Linked DNA regions of Macaca fascicularis. The protein of the gene in region 4 purifies or fractionates together with the protein of the main gene of each other region. This does not show direct contact. Links are inferred from orthologs where the notes say so. Each region holds a gene or a part of one and is shown on either strand. Other genes may lie near its edges. The genes, in order: HNRNPU, DDX5, TARDBP, HNRNPH1, HNRNPR, HNRNPDL and COPRS.

Region 1 (3,500 bases), on a different chromosome or scaffold from region 4:
TCTAACTCGATCCTCTAAGGGGACATTCTGGATAAAAGTATACTCTTCAGGTATTGGAAAATATGGCTTTTCCTTCTGACCAAAATTAAATTCAACTGCACAGTTGTGGCAGAGAACATGCGGGAAGAGTGGCCGTCCAGCAAGAACTTCCTTACTGATTTTGAAAGCAATGCCAAGATCTTGTCCATTCTTAGCATAGGAGAGTTCTACTTCATCACTTTCAAAGTTCTGTTAAACAGCAAAAAATTCAAGTTATCTGCTTCCTGTAAACTTTCTAAAAAACTAATAATTAAAATTAGGAGCAAAGCTTATCCTGTGGGAGCTACAGGTTAAACAACTATTAAGTGGCCTCTAAGGGCTACACAGTTAAGAAATCTGATGGTTACAAACAATGAAGCACGGATCTCCAGAACCAGAAACAATAGTGACCTAGAAGTTAGACTAAATTTTCTAGGTCAATTTCATCTTCATTGTTTTCAGTCAAAATGAAATTAGTGAGTTCCTCAAAAATGTCCTGTATTTTCCCAATTCAACTGCTGAATGAGTATTTATACTAACCCAGGGACTGGTGTATTTATGTTGCTCCTATTGAAGATTGACCTTAATAAAGCTTCTTAAAAGTTCCTAGATATAGCTACTAATTTGCCATTTATACATAGAAAGTTAGCTTTAACTTACAGCAAAACATGTAATCACATCATTTTCATCAAACTTTTCTCCATAATCTTCAGTCTCACAGTTGCATGTTTTTATTCCTTTTAGAGAATACCCGTAAGAAAATTCTTCTTCACCTAAGAAAGTAATTAACCTTCGTGAAGCAGATTTTTAAAATAGTCCAAAGACTCATCTATTTCACTACTTAAAATGTAGGCTACAAGAGAAATGAGCATATAACCTAATCACCTGTCACTGACACTATTACTTTTCTACCTCTGTACTAGAATTGATGAAAGTTAGGAGGGATATATATATATGCAGAGACCAAATTAGTTGACAATTTGCATATCATGGGTAAGATTTTATTTCAACCATAAACTTCTAATAAAGGAACAAAAACTAAAATGTAGCCTGTGCCTACTATGTGCTAATATTACTTGTCTGAAGTATTAACAGAATAGATAAAAACAGACAAAAGGCTTAGAATGCCTTCTAGTCTGGTTAAAAAATAAGGATATCAGACCCTCCTAAACATTCATGAGCCCACATCAGTCAAAAAGAATCTTTACCAAGTAACATTCCACTTGTAGTTAGTGACCAGCCAATACGAACTTCATGTATGTCAATATCTTTTGTATATAAATGCCTTACTGGGATCTTCTCTGTAACCTGAAAGTCGAATCATTAAATAATTAAAATCATAAACCAAGGAGGTAACCCCTTAACTCTGGCTTATTTCATAGGGTCATGAGCTAATCTTCCTCGAGCTATAAATACAAAGAGATGGCACACTCTAGCCCATCCCTAATATTTGTAAGAACTTTAAACTGATGTGCTTATAACTTGAAATGTTAAATACTTATTTGACCCATACTTAAAAGAATAGTTAATATTTTTACAGTTCATGTTGTCAGTCTTCAACTTAAAGCCAATTAAAGGATACATTTAATGTTTTTCTCGCCAACAAAACCTGTAATCTAACCAAATTTTATTTTTCACTCTTTGGTGGCCCTTTCAAATGCTTGATAAAAATGAAGTACCCTAAATAAAAAGTTGCCTAGCTCTGCATGTCAAGTTCTAACATAACTTAACTGTCACAACAAAATGAAGGTTCCAAGTTCCTCTTTTAATTTACAGGAAGCTTCAAAAAATAAGTACCTCTGATAACTTAGCAGTATGAAGCACCTGTAATTTCAGTATTCTGGGAGGCCCAGGCAGGCAGATCACCTGAGCTTACGAGTTCAAGACCAGCCTGGGCAACATGGTGAGACCCTGTCACTATTTTAAAAAGAAAAAAAGAAAAGAAAAAAAAAGGCTGGCTCAAGTGCGGTGGCTCAAGCCTGTAATCCCAGCACTTTGGGAGGCCGAGGTGGGTGGATCACCTGAGGTCAGGAGCCCCGTTCTCTATTAAAAATACAAAAATTAGCCAGGTGTGGTGGCACGTGCCTATAGTCCCAGCTACTTGTGAGGCTGAGGCAAGAAGAATCACTTGAACCCAGGACGAGGAGGTTGCAGTTGAGCCTGGGTCACACCACACCAATCCAGCCTAGGGGACAGAGTGAGACTCTGTCTCCAAAATCAAACAAAAACATCATAAAATTGCATTTACCTTCATCTCAAAACACACTTTGCCTTTTGACACACCATAAGATGCTCTTCCTCCAGCCCAAAGAAAAGCAAAACTTTCCATTGTAAGGGAAGAAGCACTGAGACGATCTCTTGATATTTTAAAATGTAGATCACAATTATCTGTAATTATATCAAATACTGTGTTACTTTTGACATCCAATGTAAACATATATGCTATGTAGAGAAAACTTGGTTATTTAATTTTTGCATGTACTTAACGCTGCACAACTTTTCTCCACATCATGCTGTTGTTCCAATTTTCAGTTTAAAGCCCCACTCCCACCAAGTCACTCCTTTTAAATTATGTACTGAAAAGTAAACTGCCTCTGAAACTAATACCAAGGTTTAACATGTATATTTTAAGTATTTAAAATAATCAAGACAATGTGACATTAATACATACCTGCTCTGCTCTTTACCTTGATTTAGAGGCAAGCAGTAGAGGATAGCAGGAAATCAAAGTGAAGCATGCCAGAACCAGGTAGATTTACCAGTGCCACATTAAAACTGAAGGGAGGCCACGACCAAATTATTTTGAAACAGGAGTATGAGCTGCTGTTGATCCTGCACCAGGGCTCTAGCTCCTAAATTCTTCTTCTAAAACTTGTGAAGAAGACAGCCTAAATCTATGAAGTACAAACCTGGCCGTCTAATGCTGTTAATAGTGCAGCATTTTAGGTCCTCTTTACCCAGGACTGCCTGTTCAACAATTAGGGATTAACTGCTTCCCGGATTATCCAAATCCAAAGTGTCTTTAACCTAGCTACCTATGGGTCACTGGCTCATTAACATGCACCTTCTCAGACTTCTCACTTCAACAGCTAAAGTCAAGCTGGAATTCAATTTTTTTTTTACTGATCAGAGAAAAATAAATCTACAGTTTGGAATTTTTCTTAAATTAGAATTACTGTAATCAGCAGAATTTAATTCAACAGATTGTTTGAATTCAACATTGTGTTTATATTGACATATGCCTATCTGATTTGCTAAAAAATCTAACAATTACATTACCTGCATGAGTCACCACTTCACTACCTTGCCAATTCCTAGCAACTTTTTATTTACACAACCCAGAATTTCACATAAAACTTTCAATTCAACTAACTCCTTTTTCACCTGCAGTTTTTTACTTCAAAAAGGCTCAGATGACTATCTCAACCTTCTGTAAAGGACATTCCAGTAAGAAAGAGTTTTACATTTACACTCTTACAAAT
Region 2 (4,177 bases), on a different chromosome or scaffold from region 4:
TGAAATTCTGTCTTGCAATAACATCCATGACATTTGCTATAATTAGTGACAGATATTTAACAAAAATTAGTGATGCCAAGGAAAGGAGGAGGTAGGTGAAAACAAAAACACAGGGGTAGGGTAGAACTGAAAAGTAGCACTCACCAGGGAAATTAGCTTCATAAAAATTTAGAACTGGCTTCGGGCAGTTGTGACCTCTAACTGTAATTTCCTTGCTTCTTCTGTATGTTTCCACCTCTTGCTGCAAAACAAATTATAACAGTCTTAAAGCTCATGACAACCACCCCTAACTAAATACGTAATTGGCAAGTCCGTAACTTCATAATTTAGTAATTAGTTTAAAGTAGCTTCATTTTAATCTGGAACCGCGTATGAAAACCCTATATGACAAAAAAACCGTTTATTCTGCTATACTCAATCTAAAAAAAAAAATTCCCAAAGCCACCTATTTGCAAAAGTGAGTCACACCTTTCCCAATTATGAAGTCAGAAAACGTAACTCTACCAAAATTGAGTTATTTGCAAAACACCTGTCAGAATTTCATTTACTAGACTCCATTGAGTTACAGCCTGATGAAGCCACATGAATTTACTCACTGCTGTCCGCCTAGCCAAATCAGGGTGCTCTTGATAGAAATTCTTCTCAAACTTGGGCAGCTCATCAAGATTCCACTTCTTTTTAACTAGTTTCTCCCCAGGGTTTCCAAACTTCTTTCCAGATAAGGGCCCCGCCCTACTTCCTCCAAATCGAGGTGCACCAAACCTGGAATGAAGAAAAAAAGTTATTTACATTTTCAAATGGCTACACCTAGGTTTCTGGACAGATTTGTTTACCATCCCTTGGCACAAGCTAAAGATCACTGAAAGCCGACTTCGAGAGGTAAACCTAGCACTGTCCTTAGTGATAATCTCTCTCTCAACAGCCACAGTTAACGTTTCCCGTAGTCCCAAGTACACACAACTTAGGCCACGTAAACAGCCTGGGATTTACTATATCGAAAACTTGTCACCCAGATGCCAGAATTTAGTATTACACACCACTTCTTGTGGTTACTATTATCTTTCTCACCAGTCTAGCAATTCATTATCAGTGATAACAAGCCTACATGAACCGAAGAGCATCACAACGATGTTACTCATATGGCCGTTTTCAAGCCAAAGAGCTTTGATGTCAACAATCTAGACAGCACAGACAACGAAAACGAAACAACGGTTTAGAAACACTTCTGCTAGCAAACCGAGCTGGGGGGACGCCGCGGTAGAGCTCCGGATCAACGAATTAAAATTATATAACGCAGGAAAAAAGAAAAGGAGGAGCCGGCGACTACCGGGGGAGGAGTCCCGGCCCGGGCGGAGCCGGCCGGGCGGCGTTCCCGCTGGGGCGGCGCTTCCCCCTTTGTCTCGCATTTCTCTCTGCGCCACATTTTCTCGACGCTGCCATTTTGAGCTCCTCCGCCGGGCGGAGTAACAAAGGCGCCGCCGCCATGTCCAAGGCCGGCATTTTATACCCGCGACTCAGCCACATGGCTGATGCCGGCCGCCCTCCTACCCCCACAGCACCAGTGGCTTTGGAGGTGGTCCCTTCGCTCCCACAGAATGCCCGACCACCCCAAAAACACCTCCCGAAAGGCCGCACCTAACAGCTGTTCCTTCGTCTGCCTCGAAGCGTCGCGCTTTCATCCGAACAATGCGCTCCCTCTGAATTCCCTCAACAGCTACCAAATGGCAGCCGCCCCGACGGCTCCCCGACCCCCACACAAAAAGCGAGGATGAAGACACTATCCCGTCAAATCTCTCCCACTCACTGTTACGTGAATATCAAAATGGCGCAAGCCTTCGGGAAAGGAGGCCCCAAGATAGCCCGGAAAGGCCGAGTCCAAGCCGCAAAGCCCCGGCCCGCCGCCACCCTGACCCGCCCTCCCATCCCCCACCCGCCAGCCCTGACAACTCGGCTCCCACACTCACCCTCGATCCCGGCCGCGGTCTCGGTCACTCGAATAACCCGACATAGCGTCAATGGTTGCGGTTGGCGGGGAACGAAGTAGATAGAAAAGGGTGCGACGAGTCGCTGGAAATGGCTTCGGCGACGGCGAAGCCTTGCGGGGGCGGCAGCGGAGGAGTGACGGCGATGACACCAGCCAAAGCTGCACACCTAGAGACCGGTGGAAATGAATGAGGTGCCGGCCGCTTTCCGGCAGCCGCTTTTATAGTCTGGACCTCCTCCTACGCCGCAAGGCACGCTGGGAGCCGCTCTATGACCTAATCGCCCCGCCCCTCGCGCAGAGGCCGCAACGCCCGCCGGCGTTCCGCGATCGCCGCGCTTTCACCCCACCCCGTGCCGCTCTCTCAGGTCAGGGCCCACCCACCATTGAAATGCCTCATTCTCCACTCTCTTGACCTCACCTTCTTCTCGTCTTTCCACACCTCAAGAAAGCCACCCTGCCCTTTCCCAAGCCCAGCCAGACGATAAAACAGCCAGCCCAAGCCCGCCCACCCTCCCCACTCGGAGGTGTTTACGTCTCCAAAGAGCCCTCACGCCTGTAACCAAATGAGAGGGAAGGCGGGGGCCTGGCGTTGTCACGTGACGTTACCCCCCCACCGCCCACCGTGACAGGGGGCCGCACTACTTCCCCGTTGACGTCGGCGGAGGGATACATAACGAAATAGCTCACCGGAAGTGCGCTGCCAGCACCCGGGACCCGCCCCCAGCTGCCGGCTAACTTGGACCGTCCGACCCACGGGTCTGACAATCCTGTGACGGGTTTTGGCCGGCGGAGAATGGTCTCTAAACTTCCCAAACCGCTTCCGTGGCACGTGCTGTGAAAGGAAGTGCTCCTCTGATGACCAATCAGCGGCGAGAAGTTCTTTTAACGTCCCTCCCTCTTTCACGCCTCCTTCCCCGCGCTTTAGTTCGTGCGCCCGCCCCCCAGCGTCTGCTCTGCGTTCGGTCCTTGCAGGACACCGTCGCCGGTCTGGCAGCGTCGGAGTCCGGCGGCGACCTGCTTCCGAGACATGGCCCGCTCGGAGGCTGGTGAGTGTTTCCCTGGGGTCGCGGTGTGTGTTTACTGAAACTGTCCACCTTCAGGGAGGCCTCGGGCTAGCCCGGACTGGGTCTGGGGTGTCGGCGGGGCTCGTTACTGTCAGACGCTGCGTCGCGGTGGCGGGTTCTCTGGATAGGGTCTCTCAGCTTCACCCCCTCTTCGCTTTGAGGCCGTGGAACAGCAGTATGAGGTGGGAGAGAGGCACTGGGGCGAGGCCGGTAGGACGCTCGGGTCCTGGCTGCAAAAAGAGCAGTCAGAAGGGTCGTCCTCGGACTTGTCTTTCTGTGGGGCGTCTAGCCGCTGTCCATGTGCCCTCCTCCCTTGCACTATGGGCCCTGAGGTCGTACCTCCTTTTGTAGTGGTCTTTAAAGGAACGGCACTCTTAAGGTTTATTCATGCCCCTGCCACAGAAGAATAGTGGTGCTTTTTTCTCTTCAGTGCCCTCTAGAGTCATGGGCTTTGTCTAGCACCGCTTTTGAAGAGCGAATTAATTTGGTTGTCTAGGACGCTTTCATCCTTTTCACTAGGACTGCGTACAAACCAGTTGTCATGGTTTGGCCAGTTGTGAGAAATGGGCTTGGAGAGGGGGGATTATGTGCCTGGAAGATACACTCTCATTCGTTTCCAGAACGTCATGTGTCCAGAACATAGTGGAGATGTTTGTTTCTAATATCGATTGCCAGTGCTTTCCTACCAATCGTCAGGCATTTCAAGGAACAAGTATTTTAAGCTAAGTTGCTTTTGGTAGAGAAACTGTTAAACTTCGCAAATCCCAGCAATATCTAGGGGAGAGGAGAATGTGGTATGCAGGAAACGTCAACAGTATTGATAATTCTGAGCTTCATGTACTTCCAATATTTTGTTTCATGTAGATCAATATAATAAAAAAGAAAAACTAAGAAATGCATTAGTGTTGATGTTGTCATTATGCCAGTTCTTAACAGCCTAAGTTTAATCACCACTTATTTGGGCACCAGAGAAATCCTGACTTGCACAAGATAATTGGGTAAACACATGACCAATACTGTTGGGAGTTTGAAGCAACATATTTTATTAATGACTGTCTAGTAACTTCAGATTATTATTAAACTGTTGCTTATGACATAATATTCCTGTTTACTTGTAAACATGTTTTAA
Region 3 (3,500 bases), on a different chromosome or scaffold from region 4:
AGGTACTTGGGTCTGTGCTTTGGGATTTTTTGCTGACAAACTTCCTTAGAAGATTGTAAGATAAAATGTAAACACACTTAGAAAAGATAGTGGTAGGGTGTGTTCATGAAATCCTTTTGTCTTGTTGAAGTCTTTGGCCCTTAATGCATGCTGAATATTTTATGCTTGTTTGAAATATTTAGTTTATTACTTCTCCAAATGAAACCTTTGTTCATTTTGTTCTTCCTTTTTGTTATGCATGGAAAAGAGGAAAGATTATTTGTCAAGTTAACAGTTTCTTACATAGTTATATGTTAAAACATAAAGACAATCAGAATACGTACATTAATCTTGTTATAAAGACCTTTTTCCAAGCAAACAAATAACATTTGCTTATTTGGAACATCATCATCTTTGCCAGGAGATTGCGTATTTATTGATTTTCTCAAATCCAAATACAGTCATGCGTCACATGGCAAAGTTCATCAGTCAGCAGCAGACCACGTGTACAGCAGTGGTCCCATAAGATTATAACACTGTTTTTATGGTACCCTTTCTTTTTTTTTTTTTTTTGAGACGGAGTCTCGCTCTGTCACCCAGGCTGGAGTGCAGTGGCCGGATCTCAGCTCACTGCAAGCTCCGCCTCCCGGGTTCACGCCATTCTCCTGCCTCAGCCTCCCGAGTAGCTGGGACTACAGGCGCCCGCCACCCCGCCCGGCTAAGTTTTTGTATTTTTAGTAGAGACGGGGTTTCACTGTGTTAGCCAGGATGGTCTCGATCTCCTGACCTCGTGATCCGCCCGTCTCGGCCTCCCAAAGTGCTGGGATTACAGGCTTGAGCCACCGCGCCCGGCCTTATGGTACCCTTTCTATGTTTAGATACACAGATACTTACAATCATGTTACAGTCAGTCACCTACAGTGTTGAGTACAGTAACTTGGAAGTTTGTGGCCTGGGAGCAATAGGCTATACCATCTAGCCTAAGTGTGGGGTAGGCTGTGCTATCTGGGTTTATATGATGTTTGCACAATGACGATCTTTTGTTTGTTTGTTTGTTTGTTTGAGACAGTGTCTCACTTTGTCGTCCAGGCTGGAGTACAGTGGTGCGATCTCAGCTCACTGCAAGCTCCACCTTCTGGGTTCACGCCATTCTCCTGCCTCAGCCTACTGAGTAGCTGGGACTACAGGCGCCTGCCAACACGCTTGGCTGATTTTTTGTATTTTTAGTAGAGATGGGGTTTCGCCATGTTAGCCAGGATAGTCTTTTATTTTTTATTTATTTATTTTTTTTTTTGAGATGGAGTCTCGCTCTGTCACCCAGGCTGGAGTACAGTGACCGGATCTCAGCTCACACTGCAAGCTCCGCCTCCCGGGTTTATGCCATTCTCCTGCCTCAGCCTCCCAAGTAGCTGGGACTACAGGCGCCTGCCACCTCGCCTGGCTAGTTTTTTGTATTTTTTAGTAGAGACGGGGTTTCACCGGGTTAGGCAGGATGGTCTCAATCTCCGGACGTTGTGATCCGCCCGTCTCGGCCTCCCAAAGTGCTGGGATTACAGGCTTGAGCCACCGCTCCCGGCCGCCAGGATGGTCTTAATCTTCTGGCCTCATGATCTGCCCAGCCACTGCGCCTGGCTTTTTTTTTTTTTTTTTTTTTTTTTTGAGACGGAGTTTTGCTCTTGTTGCCCAAGCTGGAGTGCAATGGCGTGCTCTTGGGTCACTGCAATCTCCGCCTTCCAGGTTCCAGCAATTCTCCTGCCTCAGCTTCCCGAGCTTCTGGGATTACAGTCATGCACCACTATGCCTGGCTAACTTTGTATTTTTAGTAGAGATGGGGTTTCTCCGTGTTGGTCAGGCTTATTTTGAACTCCTGACCTCAGGTGATCCACCTGCCTTGGCCTCCCAAAGTGTGGGGATTACAGGCGTGAGCCACTGTGCCCGGCCTTTTTTTTTTTTTTTTTTTTTTTTTTTTTTTTTTTTTTTTTTGAGACGGAGTTTTACTCTTGTTGCTCAGTCTAGAGTGTAAAGGTGCAATCTTGGCTCACTGCAACCTCCACCTCCTGGATTCAAGTGATTCTCCTGCCTCAGCCTCCCAAGATGCTGGGATTGCAGGCACCTGCCACCACACCCAGCTAATTTTTGTATTAGTAGAGCTGGGGGTTCACCATGTTGACCAGGCTGGTCTTGAACTCCAGACCTCAGGTGATCCACCCGCCTCGGCCTCTCAAAGTGCTGGGATTACAGGCGTTCACCACCACACCTGGCCACAATGATGAAATTGTGTAATGGCTCATGATGTATTTCTCAGAACATATGTCCATCGTGATGTGATGCATGACTGTACTTTTGTAACTTAAAACGTTACTCTTCACTGAAGCCTTTTAAGAAAAAAAATGCTGATGCAAAAAATGAAGGGTATGTCTACTTTTTAATGATTCACTGCTATCCAAGGCAGAATGATTTTGTTATATCCCTTACCTTAATGCTTTTTTCATTGTTCATAACATATTTCTGAGTTTTTTTTTCTTCCTTTTGATTTGATCAGCAAAGCCAAGATGAGCCTTTGAGAAGCAGAAAAGTGTTTGTGGGGCGCTGTACAGAGGACATGACTGAGGATGAGCTGCGGGAGTTCTTCTCTCAGTACGGGGATGTGATGGATGTCTTCATCCCCAAGCCGTTCAGGGCCTTTGCCTTTGTTACATTTGCAGATGATCAGGTATTTTTCTCCTTAACAATATGTCCCGACCAGGCGTGGTGGCTCATGCTTGTAATCCCAGCACTTTGGGAGGCTGAGGTGGGCGGATCACGAGGTCAGGAGATCAAGACCATCCTGGCCAACATGGCGAAACCCTGTCTCTATTAAAATACAAAAAAAAAAAAATTAGCTGGGTATGGTGGTGCACGCCTGTCGTCCCAGCTACTCTGGAGCCTGAGGTAGGGGAATCACTTGAACCCAGGAGGCGGAGGTGGCAGTGAGCTGAGATCACGCCACTGCACTCCAGCCTGGTGACAGAGCAAGACTGTCTCAAAAAAAAATATGTCCCAGGTAATTAGGTAATTTCTCTTGAACATTTCCCATCCAGCTAATTGCTAGTCTTAGCTGAGTTTTCTGACCTTGTAAGATGTAGGGTGTATGGGCCTAGACGTTTGTGATACCTGTATCTGATATCCCAAATGTAATATTTTTAAAAAATCTAAAAGTAAGTATACCTTTAGATAGTTTTCAGTATGTGGCATTTGGGAATGTTATATACCATTTTTTGTTTTGTTTTTTGTTTGAGATAGAGTTTTGCTCTTGTTGCGCAGACTGGAGTGCAGTGGCACAATCTCGGTTCACTGCAACTTCCACCTAATGGGTTCAAGCAGTTCTCCTGCCTCAGCCTCCCAAGTAGCTGGGATTATAGGCGCCTGCTACCACGCCTAGCTAATTTATTTGTATTTTTAGTAGAGACACGGTTTCACCATGTTGGCCAGGCTGGTCTCAAACTCCTGACCTCAGATGATCCGCCCACCTCAGCCTCCCT
Region 4 (4,173 bases):
TGTCTCAAAAACAAAAGCAAACAAAAAAACCTTCTTTCATTGCCAGACATGGTGGCTCATACCTGTAATCCCAGCACTTTCTCTGGGCAGCTGAGGTGGGATGACTCCTTGAGTCCAGGAATTCAAGACCAGCTTGGGCAACAAAATGAGACCCCATTGCTACAAAAAGAAAAATAAAAAAGTTATCTGAGCAAGGTGGCACATGCCTGTGGTCCTACCTACTCAGGAGGTTGAGGCAGGAGGATTGTTTGAGCCCAGGAGGTAGAGGCTGTAGTGAGCCATGTTTGCACCACTGCACTCCAGCCTGGGTGACAGTGAGGCCGTTTCTCAAAAATAAATAAATAATAAATAAAAAATAAATATTTAAAAACCTTGTTTTAATATGTTGGACAATTTATATATAAGAGCATTGGCTATAAATGTATGAAATTTATTCTACCTCACTACTATTTTTTTTGAGATGGAGTTTCACTCTTGTTGCCCAGGCTGGAGTGCAATGGCATGATCTCAGCTGACTGCAACCGCTGCCTACTGGGTTTAAGCAATTCTCCTGCCTCAGTCTCTCCAAGTGGTTGGGATTACATGTATATGCCACCATGTCTGGCTAATTTTTTTTTTTTTTTGAGAGGGAGTCTTTCTCTGTTGCCCAGGCTGGAGGACAGTGGTGTGATCTCAGCTCACTGCTTCCTCTGCCTCCTGGGTTCAGGTGATTCTCCTGCTTCAGCCTCCAGAGTAGCTGGGATTACAGGCGTGTGCCACCATGCCCAGCTAATTTTTGTATCTTTAGTAGAGATGGTGTTTCACCATGTTGGCCAAGTTGGTCTCAAACTCCTGACCTCAAGTGATCTGCCTGCCTCGGCCTCCCAAAGTGCTGGTATTAGAGGCGTGAACCACCGCACCTGGCCAGAGTCTCTCTTTTTGATTACCTCAGCCAAAGTGTTTTCTGAAATGGTACCACAGATATGTGCTTCCAGTTCCGTTTGTAGTAGAGGGCATGGCATGTACCGTCATTCACCCTGCCTGCTCCATCTGCATTCCCCTCACATCCAGCAAGTTTTCCTTTGCATAGGGCTTATTGCTCCCCTGCTGATCACCTGCCAAAGCCTTCTCTCGGAGTTAACATCCTTGCCAAGGCCTAAGTGGCTTTTGAAGATCAGGCCCTGCTTAGCTCTGGGCTCCCGTCTTTCTTTTGATGTCCTCTCTACTTTTCTCAAACCTGTCAAAACTGGATTCGGACTCTGTGGCCCTGGGGTTGGAAACATGCTTCGTCTGCATCTTCCCAGGGTGGCACTTAGGCCTGCACTAGCTAAGGTAGCCCTGCGGCAAGGTCCAACCCTGCCTTATTGTTAATTTGTTTATTGTCTGTGTCCACTAGAGCTGGGGTGAGGAGGGCAGCCAGATCAGACCTGGGGAGGCCTGGGAGGCTACGGCATCTTCGGTGTTGGGCAGTGCTGTTAGAAACCACGAACATTACTCATCTGGCAGCATGTGTGCACATGGGGTGAGCCGGGGGTCTCCTCGAATGCGGCGTCTACGCCCGGGGATTGGACGCACTGTTACCGATTCTGTCCTGGGAGATTCAGCGGTAACCTACCGGGCAGAGGCCGGCACGCACCCGTGGAGAAGCCCGCGCTCGCGATTCCTCCTCGTGCCAGGGCCCCAGGGCACGGAAGGCCCACCGACCGTGAGGCGGGTCAAGGGGTACACAGGGTGCGAGTTCGTTAGGCAAAAGCTGGGTACAGGCGCGAGCCACAGGCACGGGAACCTCGCGCCGACCGGGGCCCTAGGCCCGACGACCGCAGGTAAGGGGAAGTGGAGGCACACATGGCTGGGACGTGCCCCAGGCACCATCCGGGTGGCTTCGGGCGCGGGACGTCCGCAGCCCCGCAGCTCCCAGGACGCTCGACCATCTGCGGCTGATCAGCTTCGGCCGGTTTGGGGATAAAGGGGAGACAGGCGGCGCGGGGAGTGGGAACGCCTGAAGGCCGCGCCTCTCCTTTCAGGTCGGCCAGGAGCGCACCGGTAAGAGCCAGGGGGTAAGGGGTAGAAAGACGCCCACCTCTTCAACCCAGAGCTCGGGACTCCTATACAGTCCCATAGGGAACAGGCGGCCGCCATTCCCCTCCCCCACGCTGGCGGGTAAGGCTAGAGAACGGTTTCAAGGAAGACGCATGCGCATGAAACAATTATAAACCGCTAAGACTCCCAAGTTCAATATTCGCGGGAAGGCGCATGCGCAATAAAAAGCCCGGCGGCTTTATGGGTGGGGGTGCTGCGCCCAAAACCCAAGCGTGTAATAATCCGCCGGCGGACGGTGGGCTGGCTCTTGAAACTACGCATGCGCCAGAGCTCTTTGTGACGCAACGGGGCGGTGCGGGCAGCTGGCTGCGCGTGCGCAGAACTCGCACAAAGGGCCTTATTTAGGTTGCGCAGGCGCCCGCTGGCCATTTCGTCTTAGCCACGCAGAAGTCGGGTTTCTGGGTGAGTCTCGGTGGGTCCTCGCTTGCAGTTCACCGACCACCGTGGGCGCCGTTTTTGCGAGGATTGGTTGTCCTCATACCTCTGGGAGGGCCACGGGGACCTTGGCGAGCTGCGGGCTGCCATCGAGAGCCGCGAGTGGTTCGCTGAATGTCGGCACCGCAGCTGAGGCCTGCAGGCCGCGCCGACTCTATTGTGTGAGAAGTCGGAGGAGGCGGAGCGGAAGCGGCCGCCGCCATTTCCTTTCCTCCACGCTGGCTCGGCCCGGGCCCCCACGGTTCGGGGCGCCGACGGTTGCTGCTCAGAACAGCTTTTGGGGGTCCGGCCGCCGGACGAGGAGGTGTTGGGTATTGGAGCCGCCGGGGTGGGTGCATCCCCCCGGTTTTTGCTTGGTGGGGGGGCCGGTGCGGGCCCGGGGGCGCCTCGGAGGCGGAGGACAGCTTAATTGGCGCTCTCAGGTCTGGTCCTCCCCGCCTTGCAGTTTGTTTCGACGCCGGACCGCGTAAGAGACGATGATGTTGGGCACCGAAGGCGGAGAGGGATTCGTGGTGAAGGTCCGGGGCTTGCCGTGGTCTTGCTCGGCCGATGAAGTGCAGAGGTTTTTTTCTGGTGAGTTAGAACTAGGACGCGGGAGTTCGAGTTCGAGGCCGGGGCGGGCGGGCTGGCGGGCAGCCGGGCTGGGGCGGGGCGGGGCGGCGGGACCCGGGGCGCCCCCTGGCGAGGCGCGGGCGACTGCACTCACCGCCGTGTGGCTCGCGCCCGGCCGGCCGCGGTTACGCAATGGAATTTTCGAAAGCCCCGCCCGTCCTCCTGGCCCTGCGGGGGGAGTGCGGCAGATCTGGCAGACCCTTTGATTTCTTTACTACCTTTGAACACCAACTTTTCTTTTATGGATGTCGTTTTTCTTTTTCCTTTGTGTTGGGAGTCTCTGTCACCCAGGTTGGAGTGCAGTGGCGCGATCTCGGCTCACTGCAGCCCCCGCCTCCTGGGTTCAAGCGAGTCTCCTGCCTCAGTCTCCCGAGGAGCTGGGACTAGAGGCGCGCACCACCACGCCCGGCTAATTTTTGTTTCTTTAGTAGAGACGGGGTTTCACCATTTTGGCCAGGCTGGTCTCGAACCTCTGGACCTCAAGTGATCAGCCCATCTCGGTTTCCCAAAATGCTGGGATTACAGGCGTGAGCCACCGCGCCTGGCCCCGGTGTCTTTTTGCGAAAAGATGAATTGGCATAGGTGGGTTTCCTCCTCAATCTCGAGAAAATTGCCGAGTAATTAGACCAATAATAGTAATGTTTTTCAGTATCTTGAAGTGTAATCTCTTGTTTCCAGTTCTGGTGTTTCCTTGAAAAGGAGCATTCTTCGGAAAGTTAAAATGTCACGTCTTAATTTCAGTTTTCCTAATCAAGATTTGGTAATTGAAGAGTGTTTGCTCATCTAGTTCTTAATTTGGCTGGCTATACAATTGAAAACACTGAAACCCAGGGAAGTGTTTTTGGAGTCCCTAGGTTTCCTGAATATTTTCTATCAGAATGTCCTTGTTCCCATTATTAGACTGGGAAAAATTAGACTGATAAAATTCTACTTGTATGAAATTGACAGCTTTTGGCAAGACGTTTGTAGTGTTGACTTACTATCTGAATTTAGCATTGGTAACGGAAAACGACCTGTAAAACAAGAACCAAGTACACTGGAAGCCAC
Region 5 (3,500 bases), on a different chromosome or scaffold from region 4:
AAGATTATCTATCCTCATGATGGCAGCAAAATACACATGGATATCTAAAAAATAACAACAGCTAAACTTTGAAACGGATCAAGAATTTTCCCCCATCTGTATAGTATCTGCATAGTAGATAAAACACTTTCCAAACTGGAAAGATCTTGGTAAACAGCTAAAGAACACTTACCTCCGTTCCAATTCCAGGTTGCACGCCAGAGTACACACTGTCTGGTGGAGGACCACCATACTTCCTCTGTCCTGTGGTTACATCCAGAGTATAACCAGTTCTCTCAAGCAAGGCCTAGAGATAATTATACATCTCTTTATACTTGAATACTAAATCTAACACACAAGCATCAGTATATTAATCTTTTCCAAAAAGTACTCCAACTTCCTAGGAGATATATTTTTATGGTTAGGTAAAACAAAGTCAAAATTCACACTGGTTCCCCACACGTTTCTACTGGTGAGTCTTTTCAAATAAAATGTTCTCTATCCTTAAAAAAATAATTCAGCATTAAGTCTTACCTCCATGCAGCTTCTCTCATTTACTATTACTCTCACATCCATTTCTTCCTACTGTCTTTCTTTTCTTTTTCTTTTTTTTTTTGGGGGGGGGATGGAGTCTTGCTCTGTTGCCCAGGCTGGAGTGCAGTGGCATCGTCTCGGCTCACTGCAACCTCTGCCTCCTGGGTCTAAGCAATTCTCCTGTCTCAGCCTCCCAAATAGCTGGGATTACAGGCATGTACCACCATGTCCAGCCAATTTTTGTATTTTTAGTAGAGATGGGGTTTCAACATGTTGGCCAGGCTGGTCAGGTACTCCTGGCCTCAAGTGATCCACCTGTCTTGGCCTCCCAAAGTGCTAGGATTACAGGCATGAGCCACTGTGCCCAGCCCCCACTGTCTTTCTAGTGTACCTTTTTTTTTTTTTTTTTTTGAGACAGAGTCTTGTTCTGTCACCCAGGCAGGAGTACAGTGGCGTGATCTCGGTTCACTGCAAGCTCCGCCTCCCGGGTTCGTGCCATTCTCCTGCCTCAGCCTCCCAAGTAGCTAGGATTACAGGCATGGGCCACCACACCTGGTTAATTTTTTGCATTTTCAGTAGAGACGGGGTTTCACCATGTTAATCAGGATGGTCTCGATCTCCTGACTTCGTGATTCGCCCATCTCAGCCTCCCAAAGTGCTGAGATTACAGGCGTGAGCCACTGCGCCCGGCCAGGTTTTTAAAATCACACATTGTCAGAACGGCAAGAGACTTTAGATATCATCAAGTTCGGTGAACACTAGGATTCCACAGGGATGCATACCTTCAGCCTTCCATTCTTCTACCTTTGACTGAAACAGAGCCATAAATGTAATGTAAAACAGGGGTCTCCCCACCCCTGGGCCACAGACCCATACTGGTCCGTGGCCTGTTAGGAACCAGGCTGCATAGCAGGAGGTGAGTAGTGGACAAGTGAGAACAAAGCTTCATCTGTATTTACAGCCGCTCCTCATCCTCCCTATCGCTGGCATTACTGCCTGAGCTGTGAGCTCCGCCTCCTGTCAGATCAGCAACCACATCAGATTCTCATAGGAGCGTGAACCCTATTGTGAACTGCGCATACAAGGGATCTAGGTTGCATGCTCCTTATGAGAATCTAATGCCTGAAGATCTGTCACTACGTCCCAGTATGCCCAGATGGGACCATCTAGTTGCAGGAAAACAAGCTCAGGGATCCCACTAATTCTCCACTATGGTGAGTTGTATGATTATTTCATTACATATTACAATGTAATAATAACAGAAATAACTTCAACACCAAATAACTATTTCTAATCAAAAAGTCTATCACAGGCCAGGCATGGTGGCTCACACCTGTAATCCCAGCACTTTGGGAGGGTGAGGTGGGCAGATCCCCCAAGGTCAGGAGTTCAAGACCAGCCTAGCTAACACAGTGAAACCCTGACTCTACCAAAAAATAAAAAAAAAAATCAGCTGGGTGTGGTGGCGCACACCTGTAGTCCCAGCTACTCAGGAGGCTGAGGCAGGAGAATCGCTTGAACCCAGGAGACGGAGGTTGCAGTGAGCTGAAATGGTGCTACTGCACTCCAGCCTGGGCCACAGAGCGAGACTCTGTCTCAAAAAAAAAAAAGTATATCACTATAGCAAGACACGAACATCCATCCATTTAACTAACGAATTAAGTTCACTGGTCTTTCATTAAAAGCTGTATATATACTTTTCAAAGCTGTTTATCTAAGTAATAAAATGGTAATAATAATAACAGTTCACTGTTACATAGTTCTTGCTACATTCCAGGCATTATTCTAAGTGCTTTATAATATGTTAATTCATTTACTCCTTATAATAACTCTGTGAGGTAGTCACTATTACCATTCCCATTTTACAAATAAAGAAACCAAGGTAACTGAAAATTCAAAAGGAGGAAAGCGGTTGTAACACCTTTTTATCAAGAGAAAAGAAACAGGCCGGGCGCGGTGGCTCAAGCCTGTAATCCCAGCACTTTGGGAGGCCGAGACGGGCGGATCACGAGGTCAGGAGATTGAGACCATCTTGGCTAACACGGTGAAACCCCACCTCTACTAAAAAATACAAAAAACTAGCCGGGCGAGGTGGCGGGCGCCTGTAGTCCCAGCTACTCGGGAGGCTGAGGCAGGAGAATGGCGTGAACCCAGGAGACGGAGCTTGCAGTGAGCTGAGATCTGGCCACTGCACTCCAGCCTGGGCGACAGAGCGAGACTCCGTCTCAAAAAAAAAAAAAAAAAAAAAAAAAAGAAAAGAAACAAAGTGGCTGGAAAATAACTGAACTGAACCAAGAGACATTACTGGATCAATCCAAGAAACTACCAGCAGAAGCATCAATAAATACACGTCATTCATCACCACAAAACAGGGAATGAGGAAGAGTATGAAGTAGGGCTTTTCATTAAACATGCAATTGAGTGCTGACCCCCAAAATTATCCTTCTTATGTAATTCCTCTAAATTATTTCACTTCTAAACACCAGTTTTAAAAAGTGAACCTTTCAGCCAGTCGTGGTGGCTCACGTCTGTAATCCCAGCACTTTGAAAGGCCGAGGTGGGCGAATCACAAAGTCAGGAGATAGAGACCAATCTGGCCAACATAGTGAAACCCTGTCTCTCCTAAAAATACAAAAAATTAGCCGGGTGTGGTGGTGCATGCCTGTAATCCCAGCTACTCGGGAGGCTGAGGCAGGAGAATGGTGTGAACCCGGGAGGTAGAGCTTGCAGTGAGCCAAGACTGCGCTACTGCACTCTAGCCTGGGCGACACAGCAAGACTCCGTCTCAAAAAAAAAAAAAAAAAAAAAAAAGTGAAACTTTCTAGGAAATATGGAAAGAAGCATTTGACCTCATCATTAAATGCAATTTCATTACAACTACCCAAGTTTTACCTTGATCTTTGCTTCATCAGGTCCCTTTGTGGACTCTTGCACCTTGCTCCCCTGTTTCTCTCTCTGCCTGTAGGTCTTCATAACTCCACATAAAA
Region 6 (3,427 bases), on a different chromosome or scaffold from region 4:
AGTTTTACAGTGCTCCTGTGTGCATCTGAATTTTTATCAAGAATTAAGTGATTGTGTTATGATTACAAAGCTTTTACCAGGTGACCACTGATTAAAGCCAAAGTAATTAGCGATTCAAAAATGGCTTTCCAGAGACAGGCACAAAGTAAAAGGAGCTAACAATTTTATTACAATCCAGAAGAAACATGGTCTACTAGAAAGCTTCTACTAATCACAACACTTACGTCTTCCTCTCAGGACAGTCTTCAGATAACCAGAGGGGAAAGAACATTGTTCAAAGGTGTGGTAGAAACCTCACTTAACAGGGAGAAGATGAAGCCTTAAGAGCATAGAATACACCTACAAATTGGGGAAGAGGGTGATGCTGGCTGGCTATTTATAAAGGACCACAGTTTCTCCGTATGAACCAATACTCTCTACAAAATCAACTGTGCCTTAATTATTGCTTATTTTAAATTACATTTTTACAGAGCTATGTAGTACCTGACGCAAAAAAGCAATCACATAAGGAAGCATTTATTTGAAGTTTAACATGAAATGATACAAATAAAATGTGTATAAACAAATCCACATTGAGTCATAACACAGATAGCAAAGGACAAAGTAAAAACAAAGAAAACTAATTGGCAGCTATATACAGTTGGACACAATCGTGTCTTGTACACTAGAAAGTCTTTTACAAAATAATCATCTTAGATCAACAGAAGACCAATCTTCAATGTCGTCCTGCAAGATGGGTTACTTTAACATCTCCTCCTAAAAACAAAAACAAAATACCAATTAGATTTGTGCAACTCTGACAAGCTTTTAAAGGTCCACTTTCATGAACTGTTTTAAGTCCTCACTTTATTCTTTTCTTCAATAATTAAAGATCATATGCATATTTATTGGCAAAATACAGTTTGGTTAGTCAATAAACTCACCCTGGAGTTCCCAAATAATAATAAATTCAAATCTATTCAGGAAAGAATCTGGGAATACAATCTTCCCATATTCACAGGTTCAACTATGCTAGATTAAGGTCTACTAGAAGCATCTCTAGTAACCCAAGTAAAATGCTATCACAAACACCAATTTCTAATAAGCTTATTACAAGAACATAAATTGAATTGTGCATATGATCTTTAATTTATATCCCAGATTTAAAAGTTCTTGTTTTGGTTTGTAGATTTCACTATTAGCTATAAAAAGAAAAAGCAAGCATTAAATCTTAAAAGAATGAACACTTAAAATGAGGCTCCACAATTGAAATACAACACTAAACAGAAGACCAAAATGATTAAGCTGTAAAAAGGCATTTATGTATTTTAACTCCTGTAAAAAACCATTTAAGTTAAGTTTAGACACTTAATCTCCAAAAAGATTAAAAAAGAAGCCAAAGTCTGAAGTTTTCCACTTTAATCTTTACGCTGGTACATGAAGTTGGAAGAGACCATACCACAGGACAGCGTTTTCTGGTGTATGCCTTGCGCTCTGCCCGCAACGTGCGACCCCCAGAGATAGACGTGGTCAGGGTGACACACGGCCTGCAATGAAGTTCCCGCTGGCGGGTACAAACAAGGTATAATGTCAGAGTTAGAAGACAACATTCTTGTTTTCCTTAAGTTGTACCCATTTCAGTACTTTACCTGTTAATAGTTCTAAAATGTTTAATTATTCCTCTAGACCACCTGGTACACAAAAGCAAACAGAAAAACTCTTAAGTTTTTCTGCAATACTAAAGAAAGTGAGATAAGACTTTAAAGTTAAAGATCTATAGACACTTTAGGCAAAACAGGCTCATAAAGCAATTAAAAAAAATCAACAATTTAGTAAGAACAAGCTACATAGTATTTTGTTTTTACGTTTGTCTATTGATCTTTAAATTAAATTAGACATTTCTACTGTTTTCCTGTACTCTTATACACACCTGTTTTCTCCAATGTTCTCCTTTAGTATGGCTGGTAATTGTTTTGGTGATTGCCACCCCCTCGAGATGCCTTGCCATAAGTGCTCTGTTGACCTATTTTGAAAACACAGAAATTTCATTAAGATAGTTTTCTACAAAACTGTTTCTTTACAAACACACTGAGAAATGATTAAATCTACAAATCTTTGCATGCTAAATAAAAAGTATTAAAATATTAAGATATTTTAACACCCATTATAAGCTAGTCGTAAATCATACATCCTAGTTCATTTATAACCACCAGACTATGTTAGTATAATCACCCTATGATTGTAACATGCCTCAAACACTTAACTCCAAACAGAAAGCCCGTACACACAATTTCAGAACAGGATTGTATGTTAACAATGAATTTTAATACCACTGGTTTATAAAATTAAGTTAAATATTCTTACCACTGTAGTCTGCATATCCCTGTCCATATCCATAGTTCCCATAGTTATACCCAGTATAATCATATCCGCCATAGCCACTATAGTTTTGATCACCACCATAGGCACTATTGTAATTTCCATATCCTTGATCATAATAGTTATTAAATCCTTGGTTCCAGTTTTGGCCCTGACCTGAAACAATGCACAATGATTGTTAGGAAACAACTTCTGACCCCCAATTCTAACATAAAATGATGCGTTCTTGTCTCTCACTCTGCAAATCTTAAAGGGCAGAATGGACATATATAGCACTATCTGCTTGAAAAACTATTCTTCCAGCTGTTATTAAAAAAGGGGGGCAGAAAGTCCAATTGTGCCAGTATCAAACTTCCTAAATTTAATGGAAAATCATTCAATTTTCCATTAAAGCTGAAGACAGGTATACTGTTCTGTTTAAAACAAGGACTCCTGCCCAAGAAAACCCATCACGCCATGGCGCATCATGTAATGGTACACTTTTCCTGTCAGTGATGACACTAATTGTCAAAATGGCCATACTTTTAACAGTTTTTTGAAACCAGTGAGCTCACAACAAAAACCACCACACACAACCCCCACTAAGCTGAACATTTTCCTCCCGCTGGAATTGTTTTAAGTTTAAAGTTTTAGTTTCGTACAGGACTACTCATATTTAGCAGTATACAGCTTAAACCATGGAGTCATATTCCAAGAATTAAGTCTCACCTCGGCCACGACCCCTCGTACCACCTCGGCCACCAGCCGCAGCACCTCTTCCACCTTTTTGTTGTTGCTGTTGCTGCCTATATACCTCTTTGGGTTGTGCAACTTTGATTTCACACTATAAACAAATTAAAAAACACGAAAATAGAATTTTTACTCAAGTTCTAAAATTTAATCATTTTATTTTTCTCAAACACATTGAGAAATTTCAAAAACTAAAAGATAAAAAAAAAAAAAGAAAAAAGAAATCCTTAAAATTTTCATTTAAAGTACTTAAATGGCTTTACCTTCCCAGAACCAATTTGATGGTATCTGCTTTCTAACAATTTTTTTACTGGCTCTTCATCGGTGTATGTGATAAAAC
Region 7 (2,579 bases), on a different chromosome or scaffold from region 4:
AGGATGGTCTCGATCTCCTGACCTCGTGATCCGCCCGTCTCAGCCTCCCAAAGTGCTGGGATTACTGGCTTGAGCCACTGCGCCTGGCAATTTTTTTTTCTTTCACAAAGTAGTTTTAAGCCTCCAAGCGTTTCAATCTTTAAAACGTCATTCAGGGACTTTAAATGAAGGAGTGAAGGCTGGGCATAGTGTCTCACACCTGTAATCCCAGCACTTTGGGAGGCCAAGGTGGGTGGATCACTTGAGGCCAGGAATTCAAGACCAGATTGGCCAACGTGGTGAAACCCCGTCTCTACTAAAAACACAAAAAATTAGCCGGGTGTGGTGGCATGCACCTACAGTCCCAGCTACTCGGGAGGCTGAGGCACAAAAATCGCTTAAACCCAGGAGGTGGAGGTTCCAATGAGCCAAGTTTGTGCTACTGCACTCCAGCCTGGCTGACACAGTGAGACTGTCTCCATAAATAAATAAATGGGAAAAAAGCAGACGAAGCATACTAGTTTCTTTTTTTCACCTTTATTTACAAAGAACACAACTCCTCTTGACACAAACATACACATTCCAAGGAGGAGCCCATTAGTAACAACAACAGACTGGGGAGAACGACGGGGCCTTATTGAACACTGTTCAATAAAGAACTAGTCTGTGTACTGCAGACTAGGGGTCACTGAGAACGTTTTCTCAGATACCACTTTTCACCTCCAAGACAGGAAAAGAGATCTTGACGTGGAGGCCCGCCCACCTACAAGGCAGAAAGCTCCACACTCAATCTTCAGCATCGTCAAACTGTCCTGTTTCAAAGACCATCTTGGAATAATGGGGTATCAGTGGAGGCGGATGGTGCCAGCTGGGGTCATAGATCATATCTCCTTGTGGGGCACAGCACACCCAAGGTTTGAGCTCTTGAGAAATGCTCTCCTGGATGTCGTCAGCATCTGCAGGCAGTTTTAAAAGACAGATTAAGGGAAGGAAGGAGGGAAGGAAGGAAGGTAAAAATGGACAGCCACAAAGTATGCCTAGGGGACAGATCCTTGCACTTATTTTGTTTAAAAACACACACAGTTCTCCTTTCCTGAAGAATTGTAAATGCATTCATTCTGAACAGCTGAGAAGCTGTGCTTCTCAGACAAGGGTTCTTAGCAGTGGAGAGGAAGCAAACTGGATAACACAGCACTTCTATCTGCAGCTGCTCAATTCATAGCAGACATTTTTGGAGACAGTGACAGTTTTGATGTTAAAACAGTGATACATTACGAAGTCAAATGTATTTTTTTCAATATAAAAGAGGTGTCACAGAAATTGCAGACCTGTAACAGATACCAGCCTAAGCTCATAGATGTGGACCCCTGTTCCAAACTGTCTGCCTTCAGCGCTAGTCTGACAGGTGTGTCTGAGAAGGCCTGGTTCAGGACCCCCAGAGACTCTACACCTACCATATGGATTCCCTTGATCTGCTTTCAACTCCAAGTCCCAGTCCTCATTAAAAATATCACCAGGCTGTTCCTTGGGTGGACAGTTTGTCCCTTCTGACAGCTCCCAGGTATTCAGTTCTCCATCAGAGTCCTCCTCATCCATGGCAAAACCTTCCTCTTCAGAATGGGTGCCCTCACCCCGGGCAGGACTGTCATTAGGGACGCTCTGTGCTCCACGGGCTAAATTGACAAAGAGAAGATGGCCTTAGTGACAAACCAAAGAGGACCTGCTGTGTGCTCAGTCAATTTTGGGCAGACTTACTAGGAAGGTAGTAAAGCAAGTACACAGAGTCTTCTTTCGCCACCTGAGCACTTTTTAAAAAATGCTCTTCTGTGTATGTTTTTAAAAGACCTGATAACTTATTTTCTTTTTTTTTTTTTTTTTTTTGGGGGGGGGGGCGGAGTCTCGCGCTGTCGCCCAGGCTGGAGTGCAGTGGCCGGATCTCAGCTCACTGCAAGCTCCGCTTCCCGGGTTTGCGCCATTCTCCTGCCGCAGCCTCCCAAGTAGCTGGGACTACAGGCGCCCGCCACCTCGCCCGGCTAGTTTTTTGTATTTTTTAGTAGAGACGGAATTTCACTGTGTTAGCCAGGATGGTCTCGATCTCCTGACCTCGTGATCCGCCCGTCTCGGCCTCCCAAAGTGCTGGGATTACAGGCTTGAGCCACCGCGCCCGGCCAACTTATTTTCAATAAGATGTTTTGTCTTATACAAGACCATTAATTGCCAGGTCCTTTAATTTACAAAGAGAGCTAGGGACAGTTAACATTTTCAGGTGGTTTGCATGTCTGTCACTGAGGCAAAGGGCCTCTGATAAATAATACGCTTTCACAATACAAGCTTGAATTAAGATTTTGCTTTTTTTTTTTTTTTTTTTTTGAGACAGTCTCACTCTGTAGCCCAGGTTGGAGTGCAGTGGCGCCATCTCAGCTCACTGCAACCTCTACCTCCCAGGTTCACGCAATTATCTGCCTCGGCCTCCTGAGAAGCTGGAATTACAGGTGCCCGCCACCATGCCCAGTTAATTTTTTTGTATTTTTAGTAGAGATGGGGTTTCACCATCTTGGCCAGGCTGGTCTTGAACTCCTGACCTTGTGATCCATCCGCCT

What was found.
Region 1: the proteins of HNRNPH1 (region 4) and HNRNPU purify together in Homo sapiens (affinity purification with mass spectrometry; 4 studies listed by BioGRID and IntAct, with this or other methods). This does not show direct contact. The link is inferred for Macaca fascicularis from reciprocal best matches to the Homo sapiens genes HNRNPH1 and HNRNPU.
Region 2: the proteins of HNRNPH1 (region 4) and DDX5 purify together in Homo sapiens (affinity purification with mass spectrometry; 4 studies listed by BioGRID and IntAct, with this or other methods). This does not show direct contact. The link is inferred for Macaca fascicularis from reciprocal best matches to the Homo sapiens genes HNRNPH1 and DDX5.
Region 3: the proteins of HNRNPH1 (region 4) and TARDBP purify together in Homo sapiens (affinity purification with western blotting; 3 studies listed by BioGRID and IntAct, with this or other methods). This does not show direct contact. The link is inferred for Macaca fascicularis from reciprocal best matches to the Homo sapiens genes HNRNPH1 and TARDBP.
Region 5: the proteins of HNRNPH1 (region 4) and HNRNPR fractionate together in Homo sapiens (co-fractionation; 3 studies listed by BioGRID and IntAct, with this or other methods). This does not show direct contact. The link is inferred for Macaca fascicularis from reciprocal best matches to the Homo sapiens genes HNRNPH1 and HNRNPR.
Region 6: the proteins of HNRNPH1 (region 4) and HNRNPDL fractionate together in Homo sapiens (co-fractionation; 3 studies listed by BioGRID and IntAct, with this or other methods). This does not show direct contact. The link is inferred for Macaca fascicularis from reciprocal best matches to the Homo sapiens genes HNRNPH1 and HNRNPDL.
Region 7: the proteins of HNRNPH1 (region 4) and COPRS purify together in Homo sapiens (co-immunoprecipitation; 3 studies listed by BioGRID and IntAct, with this or other methods). This does not show direct contact. The link is inferred for Macaca fascicularis from reciprocal best matches to the Homo sapiens genes HNRNPH1 and COPRS.

The regions. Positions count from the first base shown.
Region 1 is NC_088375.1:4,318,098-4,321,597, reverse strand, and holds part of HNRNPU (heterogeneous nuclear ribonucleoprotein U), read right to left. Parts: intron 2,407-3,500; coding exon 2,267-2,406; intron 1,327-2,266; coding exon 1,227-1,326; intron 792-1,226; coding exon 679-791; intron 229-678; coding exon 1-228. UniProt on the Homo sapiens protein: DNA- and RNA-binding protein involved in several cellular processes such as nuclear chromatin organization, telomere-length regulation, transcription, mRNA alternative splicing and stability, Xist-mediated transcriptional silencing and mitotic cell progression.
Region 2 is NC_088390.1:71,096,259-71,100,435, forward strand, and holds the start of DDX5 (probable ATP-dependent RNA helicase DDX5), read right to left. Parts: upstream 2,801-4,177; 5' UTR 2,672-2,800; exon of another isoform or gene 2,403-2,671; intron 2,152-2,402; 5' UTR 2,009-2,151; coding exon 1,965-2,008; intron 763-1,964; coding exon 597-762; intron 242-596; coding exon 145-241; intron 37-144; coding exon 1-36. Other genes in the region: CEP95 (centrosomal protein of 95 kDa), read left to right, coding at 3,012-3,030. UniProt on the Homo sapiens protein: Involved in the alternative regulation of pre-mRNA splicing; its RNA helicase activity is necessary for increasing tau exon 10 inclusion and occurs in a RBM4-dependent manner. Binds to the tau pre-mRNA in the stem-loop region downstream of exon 10.
Region 3 is NC_088375.1:223,784,474-223,787,973, reverse strand, and holds part of TARDBP (TAR DNA-binding protein 43), read left to right. Parts: coding exon 1-2; intron 3-2,521; coding exon 2,522-2,692; intron 2,693-3,500. UniProt on the Homo sapiens protein: RNA-binding protein that is involved in various steps of RNA biogenesis and processing.
Region 4 is NC_088380.1:186,467,459-186,471,631, reverse strand, and holds the start of HNRNPH1 (heterogeneous nuclear ribonucleoprotein H), read left to right. Parts: upstream 1-1,373; 5' UTR 1,374-1,802; intron 1,803-2,442; exon of another isoform or gene 2,443-2,842; intron 2,843-2,959; 5' UTR 2,960-2,990; coding exon 2,991-3,087; intron 3,088-4,173. UniProt on the Homo sapiens protein: This protein is a component of the heterogeneous nuclear ribonucleoprotein (hnRNP) complexes which provide the substrate for the processing events that pre-mRNAs undergo before becoming functional, translatable mRNAs in the cytoplasm.
Region 5 is NC_088375.1:211,786,354-211,789,853, reverse strand, and holds part of HNRNPR (heterogeneous nuclear ribonucleoprotein R), read right to left. Parts: coding exon 3,406-3,500; intron 287-3,405; coding exon 173-286; intron 1-172. UniProt on the Homo sapiens protein: Component of ribonucleosomes, which are complexes of at least 20 other different heterogeneous nuclear ribonucleoproteins (hnRNP). hnRNP play an important role in processing of precursor mRNA in the nucleus.
Region 6 is NC_088379.1:51,444,950-51,448,376, reverse strand, and holds the end of HNRNPDL (heterogeneous nuclear ribonucleoprotein D-like), read right to left. Parts: coding exon 3,351-3,427; intron 3,182-3,350; coding exon 3,067-3,181; intron 2,515-3,066; coding exon 2,344-2,514; intron 2,003-2,343; coding exon 1,932-2,002; 3' UTR 1,910-1,931; intron 1,544-1,909; exon of another isoform or gene 757-1,543; 3' UTR 501-756; downstream 1-500. UniProt on the Homo sapiens protein: Acts as a transcriptional regulator. Promotes transcription repression. Promotes transcription activation in differentiated myotubes. Binds to double- and single-stranded DNA sequences. Binds to the transcription suppressor CATR sequence of the COX5B promoter.
Region 7 is NC_088390.1:38,091,665-38,094,243, forward strand, and holds the end of COPRS (coordinator of PRMT5 and differentiation stimulator), read right to left. Parts: intron 1,653-2,579; coding exon 1,434-1,652; intron 936-1,433; coding exon 766-935; 3' UTR 501-765; downstream 1-500. UniProt on the Homo sapiens protein: Histone-binding protein required for histone H4 methyltransferase activity of PRMT5.